Linked DNA regions of Daphnia pulex. The main gene of each other region encodes a partner of the protein of the gene in region 3 in a complex. Links are inferred from orthologs where the notes say so. Each region holds a gene or a part of one and is shown on either strand. Other genes may lie near its edges.

Region 1 (3,927 bases), on a different chromosome or scaffold from region 3:
TTCGGCATTGTACGTGGTGTTGATGCTCATCCCACGGTGACTTCTTTTCAACAAATCATTCGCTATGTGTCTCTTGGAGCAAGATTATCCACGATTATACAAGGAGCAAACGTTGACAATGTTGAGCAGATGAACATCCTAGTAACAATGTCAAAATGCCTTAAACGTCAAGCCAAGGAAAGTGACATTCGAGCTTCCGACCTGAGATCAGTATTAGAAGATAAACTACTGAAGGAAATAACAATTCGGTTTGTTGATAAAATTAACGAACCAGCGAATTCTAATTTCGTCAAAGATATTTTGATTTATGATTTGTGTGGTTATATGATTCACACAAGGAAGAGTATGTCAAAATGTCCTGACTGTTACAAATCCCTTCGCTGCGAGGAACTGGAGTTGCCAGAAGACTTCACTGCAGATCATTATACTCGAATGCGCAATAAGGGGTTTTTGATCTTTGTCACTGTAAATATGTTCCAAACATTCAGAGTGATAGAAAAGGTAATTGAGGGTCATTTTGAGCCAATTGGCCAAATGTATGAAGAGGAGTCATTTCAAGAGTGCATGGAGAAAATTTCAACTTGTCATTTGGTTCCCATTTTTTGTGACATTCATCGAGATGAAAAGTTACCTTACCTCATAAGAGAATATGTGGGAGTTAGATATTATTTTGAATCAAAAAGACTAAAAAATCTTTTGTTAGCTGAAGCTTCAGCAAATGTAAAAAAAAACAAAAAATTAGCAAAACTTGCGTAGGTACCTCTGTATTTATGAAACATTGTATGCAAGAAAATGATTCGTTTTAATAAATACCCATTTGTAACTACACTAGAATAAAATTCAAAGTAACTGAAAACTAAACATACCATGTCATTACATATTTTTTTTACACAAACAAACAATAAAATGTAAGAATGTGAGAACACTTAGAAAAATAGGACACTTATATATGACTTAGAGGTTTGACAGTTGGATACTTCTACCTTTTTATTATTGTTCACTTCTTGTAGAAAAGTAAGCTGTGATTGGTCAATGAGTTTTTCATAGACCCTTCCTGATTGGCTGGCTTCACGTAGTACCTGACACACTCACTAGAGGCGCTCATCAATTTTTCCAAATCGGACCACGGTTACCCTGAAACCGGGATAGGGAAGCCAACACGGCCGAGAACCGACCAGGTATCTATTGCTCTGCCTTTTATTTGAATTTTTAGTTTTTTCCGTCTGCTCTTCATTTCCTCCATCTGGCAAACGTCATTACAGTATAACAAACCAAAAATCGTCAACAAGAAAAAATATCAACATTACACAAATTGATTTGCATTCATGCAATAACTAGCATGGATTACGATTTTAAAGTTCGAACGAGCGTAGAACGTACCAAAGTAGAAGATCTGTTTGAATATGAAGGAAGGAAGATTGGTCGTGGTACTTACGGTCATGTGTATAAAGCGAAAAGAAAGGAAACATTCGCCACTTCGGATATTAATAAACTAATTAGGTTTGATATTCTCTAAGCACGAGAAATTGTGTAAGTTCAATATAATTATGTTTTATTTTATAGTGCTGACCAAAAGGAATATGCATTAAAGCAAATTGAAGGCACTGGTCTTTCCATGTCAGCTTGTCGTGAAATAGCCTTGCTCAGGGAGTTAAAGCATCCTAATGTGATCAATCTTCAACGAGTATTTCTTTCCCATACTGATCGCAAAGTTTGGCTTCTTTTTGATTATGCAGAACATGACTTATGGGTTTGTTAAAATCTTCCTTCTAAAGTTGTTTTGGTTCATGATCTTTTAACTTATTATATTTGTCACAAACCAAAATTTAGCACATCATTAAATTCCACAGAGCAGCCAAAGCAAATAAAAAGGCAGTTTACACTCCTAAAGCCATGGTAAAATCTTTGCTATATCAAATCTTGGATGGGATTCACTACTTGCATTCTAACTGGATCCTTCATCGTGATTTGGTATTGAGAATTATCTGCTTTTGTTAATATTTTCATCAACAAATAGATTTTTGCTTTCTTTTCCTTAGAAACCAGCCAACATCTTAGTCATGGGAGAAGGAATTGAAAGGGGAAGAGTTAAAATTGCCGACATGGGTTTTGCTCGTTTGTTTAATTCACCACTGAAACCTTTGGCTGATTTGGACCCTGTAGTTGTGACTTTCTGGTATCGAGCACCAGAACTGCTTTTAGGAGCTAGGCACTACACAAAAGCTATTGGTAAAACATTAGTAGTTTGTGTGGTGTTTCACAATTCTATATCATTGCTTTACAATTTATTTTAGATATTTGGGCTATTGGATGTATTTTTGCTGAACTACTAACATCAGAACCAATTTTTCATTGTCGTCAAGAAGACATTAAAACTTCCAATCCCTATCATCACGATCAACTCGATCGGTATGAAAATTTGCTCTTCGTGAGTGTCAGAAATGAATTATTTATTACATTTCCTTGTAGAATTTTCAACGTAATGGGATTTCCACATGACAAGGACTGGGAAGATATTAAAAAAATGCCTGAACATCCTACACTTCTCAAGGATTTTAAACGTAACAAGTAAGTGTTTATTTCCATTTGTTTGTTTACTTCTTAATATTAACTCCATGTTCAAAATGCATCTTTTGTTTATTTTTTTTTTATTTTTTTCTTTTAGCTATCAAACATGTTCCTTGATGAAGTATATGGACCGGTATAAAATTAAAGCCGATACTAAAGCTTTTCATTTGGTAATCGATATTTAAAATTAAAAGTTGCGTTTTTTTCTCTCCTTTTTTGACTGATTAATTTGCTTCAAGCTTTCCAAACTTTTAATGATGGATCCTACTAAAAGATTCACCTCAGAATCTGCCATGGCTGATCCTTACTTTCAGGAAGATCCTTTACCTACTTCAGAGTAAACTTAAAATAAGAATCATAATGTAATATAAGAATCAGTTTTGATCAGATTTGTGTTTCATTAGCGTATTTGCTGGTTGTCCTATTCCGTACCCGAAGCGAGAATTTTTGAGTGACGAAGAGCAAGATGACAAATCTGATAGCAGCAAGGTAATAATAAATTGTTCTTTTGATTTTATTTTATCTAGTCTTTTTCGTCTCCCTTGTTTTGGTTTTCTTTCATTTGCGTTTTATTTGGCATTTGGGTACACTTTTGAATTCAGATGATTGCTAAGAATCCACAGGGTCAGAATACTGCAGCGAATGCCCCCAATGACCAGTCTCATGGTCCTAATGCAAAACGAGTACGGTTGGCTCCCCCACATCCTGGAAACAATGTTGGTGGATCCAACATGTCAGGAGGCCCACCAGATTTCCATGGTCAACATGTTGGACAGCAACCCCATGTACAGCAGCATCCTTCTGCACAGCAACAACAACAACAGCAGCAGCAGCAACAACAACAGCAACAACAGCAGCAGCAACAACAACAACAGCAGCAGCAGCAGCAACAACAGCAACAGCAACATGCTTCACAATCGGGTAATTCTAATCATGGCCATGGCCATCACCCTCAGCATCCGTCACAACAAGGCAACATGCAAGGAGGTATGCATCCGAACTATTCCAATCATCCTGGCCATCCTCAACAACAGTCGCATCCTCAGCAAAACAACTCATTTAATCAAAGATTCTGATGCTCTTTTCATCTATTACTAGCAACTTATTGTATTTTGTCTTCATTTTGAATTCGTAAAATAAAATAAAATGCGTACATTTTCATACTAAAACGTTTAATAATGCATTACCGCTGGAAATGAAAAAGGTACATAGAATAAAAGATACACGATGGATCGTGTTTTGATTCCAGGAATCAAAGGAAAATTGCTGTAAACTATGATCATGTTTGACGAAGGGAGTAACTGCCAAATAGCGAAAACAAGTGGAGGCTGTGTATGGGTACTTGGGTAGAGCAAAAAA
Region 2 (2,732 bases), on a different chromosome or scaffold from region 3:
AAAATTGTTCCATTAGGATATTGTTATAGACGGGAACTGGGCTGACTTTTCTTTCAGTCATTTTAAAATTTACTCTACTAACGAAAGATGATCACGTGTAAAAACTTGCTTTGGCTATAACAATTGAATGTTACCTGCAAGGCGAAATGATAAAACTAATAACTATCGATAGACCGGTTCAATATACAGTTAAATTAACAGCAATGCACTTACCAAAAGCAGAGAATTAACTTCAACGGTATTGTTGTTTCGAATCAACTTTCAAGAGGAAAAATTTGAAGGAAAAATATGTTACAGCGACTGCAGACGGACTAAAACGAATAAACAACGTTGCAATTTGATCTAGATGTTTAATTTAGGTGGATCATCAACATTTATCAACTAAAATACAAATAGAAAAATCTATTGCAATAATTATTTTAAAATAAAAATTCTTAAAAAAAAATAAATCACCGAGATTATGTTTGTCCCAAAACGATTAAAAATAAAACAGCAGACTATTTTACATCAGAAAGGCGAGTAGATCGAATGTATTTTCCACTTTGAATAAACATAAAATAACACAGAATTCACAAAGAATCAATCATTTGACACAGAACACGATCCTCCTCAGTACACCCATTCCCAGAAGTTTGGTTGCTTGCATTGCCTTCTGAAGGTTGAACCCGTTCAACATCTATAAGGAGCTTGATGTTGCCTTCAGTTGGTTCAGGAATTGTGTTGACAGCCTGCTGAACCAATTCCCAAGCTTTGTCAAAATGTCTTCTGAAACGCTCTGCAATTTCCAATCTTTGTCGTTTTTGTTGTTCTAGCATAACTCTAAGAGTTTCCCTTGCTTGATGAGGCCGAAATTCATTGACCAGATGATGCATGTGAATGAAAAGCAAAGTGAGGTCATCAATTTTTGTGGCTCTTGCTTCAGACTCTGGATTTCGTATGCAGATATCAACCAAGTCAAGGAAACTAGCAGTGATGGAGTGATTGAGCTTTTTCAGTTCTCTTCTGTGGTCATAGTTATTAGGGTACAGACGTCGTATATTCTGGAATAGTAAAACGAGTATTAAAGAAAGCTTTGATTAAGAAAAAACTTCTATCACCTGGCTTTCAAGAGGTCGGATCACAGCATCATCAGTATTATATGGATTACCAAACATGGAATAATTGTCTGTGATCGGAGGAGGTGGTCTCGGTGTTCTTCCTCTTTTAGCGTTTTCTTCATTAAAAAGACTGACATATTGCATCGGTGGCAAAGGTAATGAACTAACTTGAGCCGTTTCTGACATTTTTACTTTCCCACTGGAATGAAGCAATATAGTAATGTAAACAATATAGTTTGTTTTCAAGAATGAAGAATGTGACGTTTTCTAGTTCGTTTGCTTGGGGATTTCAGCAGACTATTTTTTGATCAATGTTCTCCTTTTTGTGGCTGTCCCGACACGCCATTCTTGAATGGAAACAAATTTGATTTAGAATGTTGTAAAAGAATTCAATTTTACATTAAATTGTCATTAAATCAATTAATCGTTGTTTATTTTTTTATTTTAAATGTATATTTCCTCGATTTTATCGCTAATTTTCGGAGGAAATTAAATCCGATAATAGTTGTCGGCAACTGCCGCTAGATCTGTCCGAGTTGCCAGTATTTAGAGAGGTTTGGAGAGCTTTTTCTTCGTCCTGCTTTCATTCTCTTCGTACCAGGGTCCAGGGAGAAAGACAATGAACGAAGTTATAACAGCTTTATCAAGTGGGGACTACTTTTTTGATTAGTGATCGTTTTGTAAGTATGTTTAAAAGCTCTGCCAAACCTCTTGCAGGTGAGGTAAAAAAGCAAGGCAATTTAGTGAAACGATCACAGAACAAGAAGAGGTTTAGTTTGATCAACTACAAGAGTCGATGGTTCGTCCTTACCACAAAGTTCCTCGCCTACTACGAGGGCGAATGCGAGGTAAGGTTTAGTTCTACTAAACACGCATGGACTGTGTTCGTGAATCCCTTCATCACTAATTCATCACAACCATCAATTCCAAACAACAGAATCGCAAAGGAAAAGAAAAGGGACGTGTCGACCTCCAAACAGTGAAAGTTGTGGAAGCTGTTGATCCAGCACCTGACACACCTGCCATCGGTCCATTGGCAAACCTTACAGGTTCCATTCCGAGTGATTTGAAGGGATCTCCTGCTTTTCAGATAGTGTACAATCCTTATGAGTGTAATGAAGGTTGTAGTGCAACAGACTTGACTCTTTGCATTTTCACTCCCACTCAGCAAGAAAGAGATATCTGGCTTTGGAATATCCGAGTTGGTGAGAACATTCTCTTTTGACGTCTCAAGTAGTTATGTGTGACAAATAGCAGTATTTATCTCACATGTTCATTTTATCTCATCTAATAATTTATTTTATTTTTCTCCTGATAGTGGTCAAAGACAGTGCTCCTCTTGTGAATGTGTATCACCCTGCCCTGTGGGGGAATAGAAGTTATCTTTGCTGTGGATCAACCCAAAGGTCCACGTCTAAGGCAATAAACGGTTGCCGTTCTGTAACTTGGGCTCCCAATACACTTCAACACATGGGCATCAATTTCAGTAACATCATCCACCATCCGTCTCCCTCACCAAGTCCTGTCGCTAAACCTGCGAATGGGGCTGAAGTCGAGGCGGCCATGGTCAAACCAACGGCGATTAAACCCACGACGGAAATTCATCCGGCAATCGTCGGGGATGTTGTTCCTGCA
Region 3 (3,276 bases):
GTAACCGACACGCAACTCTTTTCCTCAATGTTGCCGTTTGTTTTCGGCAGGTTGTCATGATTTTGTATTTCGGGAAATCAGCCCTGAATCCATTTATTTACGGATGGAAGAACCGCGATTTCCGACTGGCTTTCGCCCGTTTGCTCCGCTACGTCCCCTGCTCCAAGTGGGCGATGGAGCGCTCGCTCAGCTCGGTGGAAATGGCCACCGGAATCGGATCGAGAGCTGGATCCATCCAGCCGCACGATCGACAGCGACTCAGTAAAATCTATCAGCTGGAGCTGCCACCTATCGAGTGGCAAATCAACTCCACCGACCTCTCCAACGACGACTACCTACAACGAACGATCCCGCCGGATCAGCAACAAGTCACGGACTTGTAAAAATTCACGACGGCACGTTTTGAAATAGTTTTTGTTTTTTCACGTTACGCCGGACGCATGCCAAGAATCGTTCAAGTCAATTCTCACGGGGGCTACACTCTTTATTCATGCAGGATGCCTCTGCTTCTTGGCCTGTCCATCGTTGCTGTTGACTGATGCGGGAGATATGTCACATGATTTTTTCCCCCCATCGGTTGTGTTGATGATATTAAAATATTTTCATGTCTTGTGTATAGGCTCCATTGAATGTTGATTGTATTTTTCGTTCGTGCCGATGCCACGGGATTCAAACTCTCTCTGACTGTCCATATCGTCATATAGCCCACACATATTTTGTATCATCTCTGTTTTCTTACTCAATGGTCCATTCCGCATTTTGTATTTTCTTATTTTTTTGCAACGCATTTCTTTTCGGCCTGATGTACTCATGATTCTCGTTGTTGTAAAACGGACAAGTGGTCAAATTCCTTCGTGTTTAGTAGCCAAATTTACATACTCAATTATTCATGGATCGTTTGTAACTTTGTAAAATGTAACAAACATTGTGTTATGAACGTTTCGTTAGGCGACAATAATATGTAAACAAATACGCTGTGTAATGAGTCTCAAAAATATTAAATCATGTTTATTTACGTCGAACCAAAGTAACTCATTGCGTCATCATCCTAATCACTCAAAAACAGTCATACAGTAAGTCATAAGTTTACAATTAATTAATTAAAACCAAATGGAATGCAATGTTTTGTTTTGTTGAACGCTAATAAAACTTTAAAAAAAACAGAACAAAATCACGAATACGATCGTTCACAAATCACTAAATCAGTAAATCACGATGTTTTCTTTTCTTTCGTTTATTGGCGTGCTCGGGTGCGAAAAGGCTTCCATGTTAGAAAATCCGGGCACGGCGACATTTTAATAAGCGCCGCCTTACGTCGTCTAACCTAACAGTGTCGAGCATCGTTTACACACAGTAAACAAGTTAAACCTCGGCCGCAGAGTATGGCTGGGAATTTCTGGCAAAGCTCGCATTGGTTAGTTTTTATTTGTCTAACGTTTTGATTCACATTTAATTACTCACTTTATTATTAGTCAGCAGTGGCTACTAGACCCTTCTGATTTGGTTCGAGAACGCCAAGGGGATTTCGCCATCGTCACGGAGGAAGACTATCAAAAACTCTTCATCTTCTTTAGTAACTGTAAGTTTATATTAACTATGGAATCATCTCCTAAATGTTGAATAATAAAAGTGTCTTTCTCATGTTAGTCATCCAGGTTCTTGGTGAGCATTTGAAACTCAAACAACAAGTCATAGCGACTGCCACAGTTTACTTCAAGCGGTTTTATGCCAGGAATTCCTTGAAATGCATTGATCCACTGCTACTTGCCCCCACATGCATTCTGTTGGCTTCAAAAGTCGAAGAGTTTGGTGTAATTTCGAACAACAGATTAATCACAACATGTCAATCAGTTGGTATGTGATCTTTTCATAAGACAAAATTTGTTATTGTGATTCAATCAACTTCTTAAACAGTCAAGTCAAAGTTCAACTATGCCTATCCTCAAGAGTTTCCCTACAGAGCACAACACATCCTTGAGTGTGAATTTTATTTATTGGAAAACATGGATTGCTGTCTAGTTGTTTACCAACCTTACAGGTGATCAACTGTTTCTGAGAAAATTTAAAGCATAATGTAATAATGTTTTCATTTGAAATTTCCACACAGACCACTTGTCCAATTTGTTCAAGACATTGGGCAAGAAGATCTTCTTGGATTGTCATGGAAAATAGTCAATGATAGCCTAAGAACTGATATATCTCTTCTGTACCCCCCTTACCAAATTGCATTGGGTTAGCTTGAATTATTTTTGTCTTTTATCATGTGAACTCTACTTCATTTATTTCTTTCTTTTCTTCTGTATTAGCTGCCATGCAAATGGCTTGTGTTGTGCTTCAGAAAGACGGGAAAAATTGGTTTGCGGAAATTGCCGTCGATACGGATAAAATTCAAGAAATAACGCGTCAAATTCTGGCTCTGTACGATCTCTACAAGACCTACGACGAGAAAAAAGAAATTCAGGGTTTGTTGGCCAAAATGCCTAAACCCAAAACGCAGCCAAGTCGGTAGGATATTCAATTTCCTATTTAGATCCCAATTCTTTCTTATTTGATCACATTGCAAAGAATAAAATTTTAAAATTGTTTAATACACTGTGATAACTATGTAGGCCTCCCTCGTCAGCACAATCACAGGATGGAATACAGGGCACAAATGACCAGTCCATGGGTGTGACAAATTGATTATCATTATCATTCTCATTTTATAAACTGAAAAACACAAAAAAAACTGTGTTATGATCAACTATTTAATACATGCTTTCTTTTACAATGAAAATGAGAACGCAATTTCTCTATTCTAGTAGTTTAGAAACAACATCAAGGCGGGGAGTACGTATGTAAGCGGCTTCGTTGAAAACGTTTCCGCGCTGTTACTTTGTTGGATTTTCCATCGTGCAATATTTTCGTTAGGATTGCCTTGATCACCGTCAAACCAAATACGCATGCAGGGCTCTGAATTATTGGTATACTTCCATGAATGATCCCAAACCTTTTAGAAAATAAAAATGTAATCAAAATTCTAGGGAGAATGTTAATACTGTTTACCCTTTCACAAAAATTAGATGAGTTTTGAAAGATATCGGAAAAGGTGCGACATTCGGATTCAGGTCGGCAGTGATTGGTCCCATTAATCCATTTGAAGTTTAATGTCCAATTGTCTGTACATGTGTAATCATCCTTGCAAGCATTGAACCAATCATCACAATCAGTGGCGCAAAGAGGCACGTCCAAGAATCTTTCTCTGCGCATTTTCATGTTTACCTAGATAAAAAAGAA
Region 4 (2,709 bases), on a different chromosome or scaffold from region 3:
TGTGTGGCAACTCGGATTCACGGGACATAAAAGTGCAGACGATGTCAACATAAATATTATACGATGTCGTTGGACGATATCTCCTGCCTCTAGAATAAAAAGGACTCTGTGTATAGATGAAGAGATAGGCCGTGATGACATATTTATTGAACGGGTGTTATGAATGCTACTGCTGCTCGTCATTTATTGAGCAGCGCTCTGGCCAAGACGAAATCAATTGTTGTTAAAATGTCGACATTCCAAGGTGCCAAGGATCTTTTCGGCGGAATCATTGTGCGCTCGAGCGAAGAGCCACAAGAAAGGAACCGAATGGAGCAGCTTCTTAAAGGTGCAAATTTATTTTTATATATTAACACATCATTTGTTTTATGTAATAGTTGTTTTGTTTGTTTTTAGAATCTCTGCAAGTCTGGTCCACCACTGGAGTTCGTGGAGTCTGGTTTGAAGTGGAACCAACCTGTGCTGAATGGATTCCAGTACTAATTCAGGTAGTCAAAGAAGAATTATTGCTAGTCAAAACTGCACGAGCATTACCTTATTCATTTTCTTAGAATGGCTTTTCTTTCCATCACGCAAACCCAGAGTTGAGTGTGTTGCTCAAATGGTTGCCTTCTGACGAACCTTGTCAAGTGCCTAGTTATGCACACACAATGGTAGGCGCTGGAGCCATGGTTGTCAATGATAAGAATGAGATTCTTGTGGTTCAGGAAAGGTATTACAAAAGACCACACTGGAAACTCCCTGGTGGTTATGTAGATCCAGGTATGTATATTTAGACATCATTAACATTCAATCATTACCAATTATTAAATTTACAGGGGAAAGTATTGCTACTGCTGTCAAGAGGGAGGTGTTTGAGGAGACTGGTATTAAGACAGAGTTCGTTTCACTCGTTGCCGTGCGGCATTTGCAATCAAGAGAGAAGAATCCCAGTGCAAGGTTCGGCTGTTCAGACATTTATTTCGTGACTTATCTCAGACCTGTTGAAGGTAGCACAGAAATCAAAATGTGTCCTCGTGAGCTCAGCGACGCTTGTTGGATGCCGGTTAGTTTTCTAAATGTCAACATTTTCAATTATTCCTAGTCTGTGTAATTGAATTTTAAATATTTTAGCTGAAAGAATATGCGACTCATCCGCTTGCCTTCGAAGTTGGGAAAATCTTTGCTACACAGTTAATGGCGATTGCCGATGGCGATAATCCCGCAATCAACTGCCTGGAATCTATCCATCAATTGACTAATAGCAATAGCCAAATTTACTTAGTTGAAGGAAAACAAAATTTTAAACTGTAATGTGTTCAGGATCACGTTCTAGTATTTTGTTTTAGTGCCTGTTACGGGAATCAGATAACGCATTATATTTAGCTTGAATTGTTGTTTTAACAAATTATATATGCAGATCGGTAAATTACTGCCCAGTTCCTGTAATCATCAGAATGTAGAATTAATTTCACAATACAGGTTGTGAATGTTTAAATTTGGCATTGAAGTTATCAGATTCATCGCTAGGTGGCGTAATAGCCGGCACATCTGCTTTTCTCATCTCTGCATTTCCATCAACAATGGCTGATCGTTTGACACAACTCCAAGACGCTATAAATGCGGTATTTATAACTGATTGCATTGACGAAATTGCCAAGTGTATCGTCTCAAATTCGTGGTTTAATTCTCTGTTTCTAGCAAGCTGATAATTTCTGCAATGCCATCGGTATTTTGCAACAAACCGCCCCACCGGCTACATTCCCAGGTTTCGATCGAGCAGGCAATCGAACACCTCAACAACAACAAGAAGATCACGCTTCTCTTTTTGCCACATTGATTGCCCGCTGCGCCAAAGATATTGACGTCCTAATCGATTCACTACCCAGTGAAGATTCTACCTCCGAACTGCAGGTATAAACTTGGTTCTATTAGTATTCTGTCGGTGCAATGTTCTACGAAGTTGACTAAAATTAATTCAATCGCTGCAGATTGCAAGTCTCAGAAGGCTGGAGAATGAAAATGAAAGTGCCGCTGCACGATTGAGGGAGGTTGTCAGCGAAGGAGAGCTGATGCTCGAGAAAATTCAGAATGCACTTCACGACATTGCACAGACCCAACTGGCCATGCAGAGCACAGGTCCAAATTCCTAAATCCAACCATTATTTGCTCTAGTTCCCTATTTTTGATATTTAAAAGAAGAAAATGAAACAAACAATTTGCTCTGCAAGAATTTCGTTTCATTTCTGGTTTCCGCCACAACATCAATTTTAAATCTGTTCTTTTCAAAATCATATTGAGTGAACATTCTTGTCACACACAGGTGAGGCAAGTCATTTCAGGAAGGAAGGAAGATGGGGTGACAGATTGTAAAAGAAACTGTTTGAAAAGGATTCCAACCTTTTATATATCCACTTCTTTTTTTGTCTTCCTTTAGAAAACCCAAAATGGAAAGAAGGGGGGAGAGAAGTTGCTGTTCACTCGTAAGAAGAGAAAGAACACGCGGTCCGTTTGTTTAGGAATGGCGTGCAACAAAAAAAAAGAGGAGGGGGGAGCGGGAGGAGGAGAAAAAAAAAACGATAGAATGTTGTTTAGCTTTTTATTTTTTAAAAAAGAAGAAGTAGAAAAAATTCTCCCGTGTGTATAAATATAGTGCTGCCATCTTCTCCGACCCCTTTCGGCGATCTCCGGTCGTTCGGTAAGAAGGGGGAAAAATAAAGGGGGTTGGAA
Region 5 (2,774 bases), on a different chromosome or scaffold from region 3:
CCCCCCCCTCTCTGCGTCGACTGCTATATACTCGGCGACGTGACGCAAATGGAATCGGGGGCTTGCTGTAATTGCCTTCAACGGCAGGTTAACATCACAACAGTTGCCGAAAGTATAGAGACGAGGCGGAGTCAGTTTTTGGGCATTGTCCGTCGCACGTGCCACCGCCCACCGGTTCGTCTACCTAGTGGCAAAAGCGTTATTAATATGGCGGGGAAATGTAATGAGAATCTTTTCCACGAAAATTTGAAACTCCTCAGGTAAAAAAAAAAAAGGCTGATATGGGTCAGGCAATAAGCGGCAGGTGATTGATAAAAGCCCACACTGCCTCAGCAACAGCTGGATCATTTTTGTCATGTCACGCCACCTGTTGCTACCTACGCTCTACTGAATTCTGTGCTATCAATGATGGAATATTACTCCATCATTTATCCCGGACCGACGGCAGAAATCCGCGTTGAATCTATTTGTTACTCCAATCACGTCACTTTGCTGATTGAACTTATAATCATAGAAGAGTGGAATTTCAAGCACGATTATTAGATAATACCAGGGAATTAAGATTGATACGTTCATCCTCTTGATTGTCGCATGGTCTACCGGAAAACTCGGGGCCGTAGGTGAGAACCAACCATTATACATCCGCCGAGTGCGCAGGAGGATGGCTACGTAGTATAGACCTACCACATGTACAATACGTGAATATGCACTCAGACATGATACACCGCCCTCACGGCCGCGTGCATTATCCGGATGTCACGTATACACGGAGTAGATATGACACTTTAAGATGATATTTCTGACCTATACATGGTAGAATGCTATCGCCCCCGCACCGGATATCCGATCAAAAGTGGCGAAAATAAGAACAAAAGTCAAAGAAAAATTTCAACAGATTTCGTTTGGGTTGAATATTTTTGATTAGCCTACTTTCAAATATTTCCGTTCTGGAAAAGGACGATAAAATAGTAACGGAGGCGTAGAATGTCGCATATGTGAAACAACTGGAAATCACACGGTAATATATTCCATCTTTTTATTTTTCCGTTCGCCTTTCCTGCTGAATTCATAATTTTTCTGATTTGACTTTTTTATTTTGGTATTTTTGTTTTTCAACTCCATATTCCATCTAAATTCTTCTATTGATCTTACCTCCTACAGGAAAATAAAATAACTCACGGTGCAAACTGAAGTTAGTATAGTCTAGCCGTCTAGCCTATCAGCTGCGGCTTCATGGTTTATTAGGGTCCTACGGCGCAGCGCAACCGCAAAATGTTATCCAAATTCGGAAATCAAACTGTGTGATAAGGCCACCACACACATTAATAAATTGTGGGCATGAAATTTGAAATCGTTTTAATTTTTTTTTTATTTTGTAAAAATTTTTTTAAGTTAATTCAATTTTTAATATTTTCTCGATTTCTTTCTAGATGGCATCAATTGATCAAGCAGACGACAAATTGCAAAAGTTGACGCTTTCCAATTTCCATTTCAAGTTGTTGTCTGACGTTTCCATTCTGTCCGGTTGCCTCGTTTCTAGATTTCCAAAACTGTTGAAGCAAACTACGTTATTTCGTTGTTTGCTTCGCAATGAGCACCAGAGGTAAATATATCGTGAAGTGTAGTCGTTTTCAATACAGATTCTCATTGCTATGTTATTATTCCTTTTTCCGATGGGTAGAAACTGATGAACAACAAAGGATTCGATTTCAGGTGGAACTAGAATTTGTGCAATGTTTCGCAAATCCAAATTATCTGCACTGTAAGTATTTGGTCTATTTTTAAAATCAACACTTTCATTATGCCTTGTTTACACTAGTCCTTGCTCAACGTGGCTATTTTAAGGATCCGGCGTTTGTCAACTACATCAAGTATTTACAGTATTGGAAGGAGCCTGCTTATGCAAAATATTTGAAGTACACCAATTCACTTGCAATTTACCCTAACTAGAAATTACAATTTCATTATTTTCCAGGTACCCAATGTGTTTGCATTTCCTAGACTTGCTTCAATATGAGCATTTCAGAAAGGAGGTTGTGAATGGCCAGTGTGCTCGCTTCATTGATGATCAACAAATCCTTCACTGGCAACATTACACTAGAAAGAGGGTTCGTCTTCTTCAAAGTCAAGCTGAGAAGCACATGATGACTGTTCAGAATGAGCCAACACCCCAGAAAAGTGTTTGATTCATGATAATTATTGTTTAAGGAACTTTTTAAACTTCTCTTATATTGGGCAAGTATATGCAAGACAATATAGACAAATTTTTGTAAATTGCTGTATTTTGTGTTGAGTTTTTGCAAACTACCAGACAAAATGTTAACAACACATATGTTTTGGAAGACTTGTTTTGAGTGAGAATGTTTAGAATGGAATAGCTGCTGTTGACCTCAACTGATGGGAGCGAGTGGAAAATCTCTACATATTACGAGATTTGTCATCAGTTACTATACTCAACAACCTCAAAAGGCAGATTTTCTTCACTTCTTCAATCCCAATGTTTAGTTCTTCAGCAGCTGAGTGTTCCAATCTCTCAACTATTCCTTTCAAGATTGCTTCCTTCTTGTTCTGCCTGGCACAGATAACAAAAGGAAATCCAAACTTTTCTCTGTATCTATTAAAATAATAGCCCAAAAGACACAGCTCATTAGTTACTATATAGTTATAGAACAGTAATTTGTCATACTTGATGTTGGTCTCTCCTAGCAGTTGTTTTTCACCAGGTGTCATTGTGTCTAAACCAGCAGCTTTCTGTTCAGCAGTACTCTCCTGTG

The links. Proteins that work in one complex are often made in the same cells at the same time.
Region 1: cyclin-C-like (region 3) and cyclin-dependent kinase 8-like share a complex: the UniProt entries of both Caenorhabditis elegans proteins name them as parts of the mediator complex. The link is inferred for Daphnia pulex from reciprocal best matches to the Caenorhabditis elegans genes cic-1 and cdk-8.
Region 2: cyclin-C-like (region 3) and mediator of RNA polymerase II transcription subunit 7-like share a complex: the UniProt entries of both Caenorhabditis elegans proteins name them as parts of the mediator complex. The link is inferred for Daphnia pulex from reciprocal best matches to the Caenorhabditis elegans genes cic-1 and let-49.
Region 4: cyclin-C-like (region 3) and mediator of RNA polymerase II transcription subunit 21-like share a complex: the UniProt entries of both Caenorhabditis elegans proteins name them as parts of the mediator complex. The link is inferred for Daphnia pulex from reciprocal best matches to the Caenorhabditis elegans genes cic-1 and mdt-21.
Region 5: cyclin-C-like (region 3) and mediator of RNA polymerase II transcription subunit 31-A-like share a complex: the UniProt entries of both Caenorhabditis elegans proteins name them as parts of the mediator complex. The link is inferred for Daphnia pulex from reciprocal best matches to the Caenorhabditis elegans genes cic-1 and mdt-31.

Annotation. Positions count from the first base shown.
Region 1 is NC_060023.1:3,950,021-3,953,947, reverse strand, and holds cyclin-dependent kinase 8-like, read left to right. Parts: upstream 1-1,127; 5' UTR 1,128-1,339; coding exon 1,340-1,500; intron 1,501-1,563; coding exon 1,564-1,750; intron 1,751-1,830; coding exon 1,831-1,971; intron 1,972-2,039; coding exon 2,040-2,229; intron 2,230-2,294; coding exon 2,295-2,409; intron 2,410-2,469; coding exon 2,470-2,568; intron 2,569-2,665; coding exon 2,666-2,738; intron 2,739-2,807; coding exon 2,808-2,905; intron 2,906-2,972; coding exon 2,973-3,057; intron 3,058-3,170; coding exon 3,171-3,644; 3' UTR 3,645-3,737; downstream 3,738-3,927. Other genes in the region: uncharacterized protein LOC124198281, read left to right, coding at 1-756. UniProt on the Caenorhabditis elegans protein: Component of the Mediator complex, a coactivator involved in regulated gene transcription of nearly all RNA polymerase II-dependent genes.
Region 2 is NC_060019.1:10,647,665-10,650,396, reverse strand, and holds mediator of RNA polymerase II transcription subunit 7-like, read right to left. Parts: upstream 1,420-2,732; 5' UTR 1,284-1,419; coding exon 1,098-1,283; intron 1,041-1,097; coding exon 570-1,040; 3' UTR 501-569; downstream 1-500. Other genes in the region: tyrosine-protein kinase Btk29A-like, read left to right, coding at 1,784-1,945, 2,035-2,302, 2,416-2,732. UniProt on the Caenorhabditis elegans protein: Component of the Mediator complex, a coactivator involved in the regulated transcription of nearly all RNA polymerase II-dependent genes.
Region 3 is NC_060017.1:5,572,603-5,575,878, reverse strand, and holds cyclin-C-like, read left to right. Parts: upstream 1-1,254; 5' UTR 1,255-1,382; coding exon 1,383-1,414; intron 1,415-1,472; coding exon 1,473-1,579; intron 1,580-1,647; coding exon 1,648-1,854; intron 1,855-1,914; coding exon 1,915-2,038; intron 2,039-2,107; coding exon 2,108-2,232; intron 2,233-2,306; coding exon 2,307-2,505; intron 2,506-2,609; coding exon 2,610-2,682; 3' UTR 2,683-2,776; downstream 2,777-3,276. Other genes in the region: adenosine receptor A2b-like, read left to right, coding at 51-383; folate receptor alpha-like, read right to left, coding at 2,798-2,989, 3,046-3,261. UniProt on the Caenorhabditis elegans protein: Component of the Mediator complex, a coactivator involved in regulated gene transcription of nearly all RNA polymerase II-dependent genes.
Region 4 is NC_060027.1:1,946,137-1,948,845, reverse strand, and holds mediator of RNA polymerase II transcription subunit 21-like, read left to right. Parts: upstream 1-1,469; 5' UTR 1,470-1,562; coding exon 1,563-1,604; intron 1,605-1,680; coding exon 1,681-1,893; intron 1,894-1,970; coding exon 1,971-2,132; 3' UTR 2,133-2,209; downstream 2,210-2,709. Other genes in the region: nudix hydrolase 8-like, read left to right, coding at 160-328, 397-488, 552-762, 819-1,045, 1,114-1,293. UniProt on the Caenorhabditis elegans protein: Component of the Mediator complex, a coactivator involved in the regulated transcription of nearly all RNA polymerase II-dependent genes.
Region 5 is NC_060024.1:13,245,235-13,248,008, reverse strand, and holds mediator of RNA polymerase II transcription subunit 31-A-like, read left to right. Parts: upstream 1-1,449; 5' UTR 1,450-1,590; coding exon 1,591-1,603; intron 1,604-1,681; coding exon 1,682-1,762; intron 1,763-1,819; coding exon 1,820-1,916; intron 1,917-1,975; coding exon 1,976-2,186; 3' UTR 2,187-2,274; downstream 2,275-2,774. Other genes in the region: 2-oxo-4-hydroxy-4-carboxy-5-ureidoimidazoline decarboxylase-like, read right to left, coding at 2,419-2,614, 2,687-2,774. UniProt on the Caenorhabditis elegans protein: Component of the Mediator complex, a coactivator involved in the regulated transcription of nearly all RNA polymerase II-dependent genes.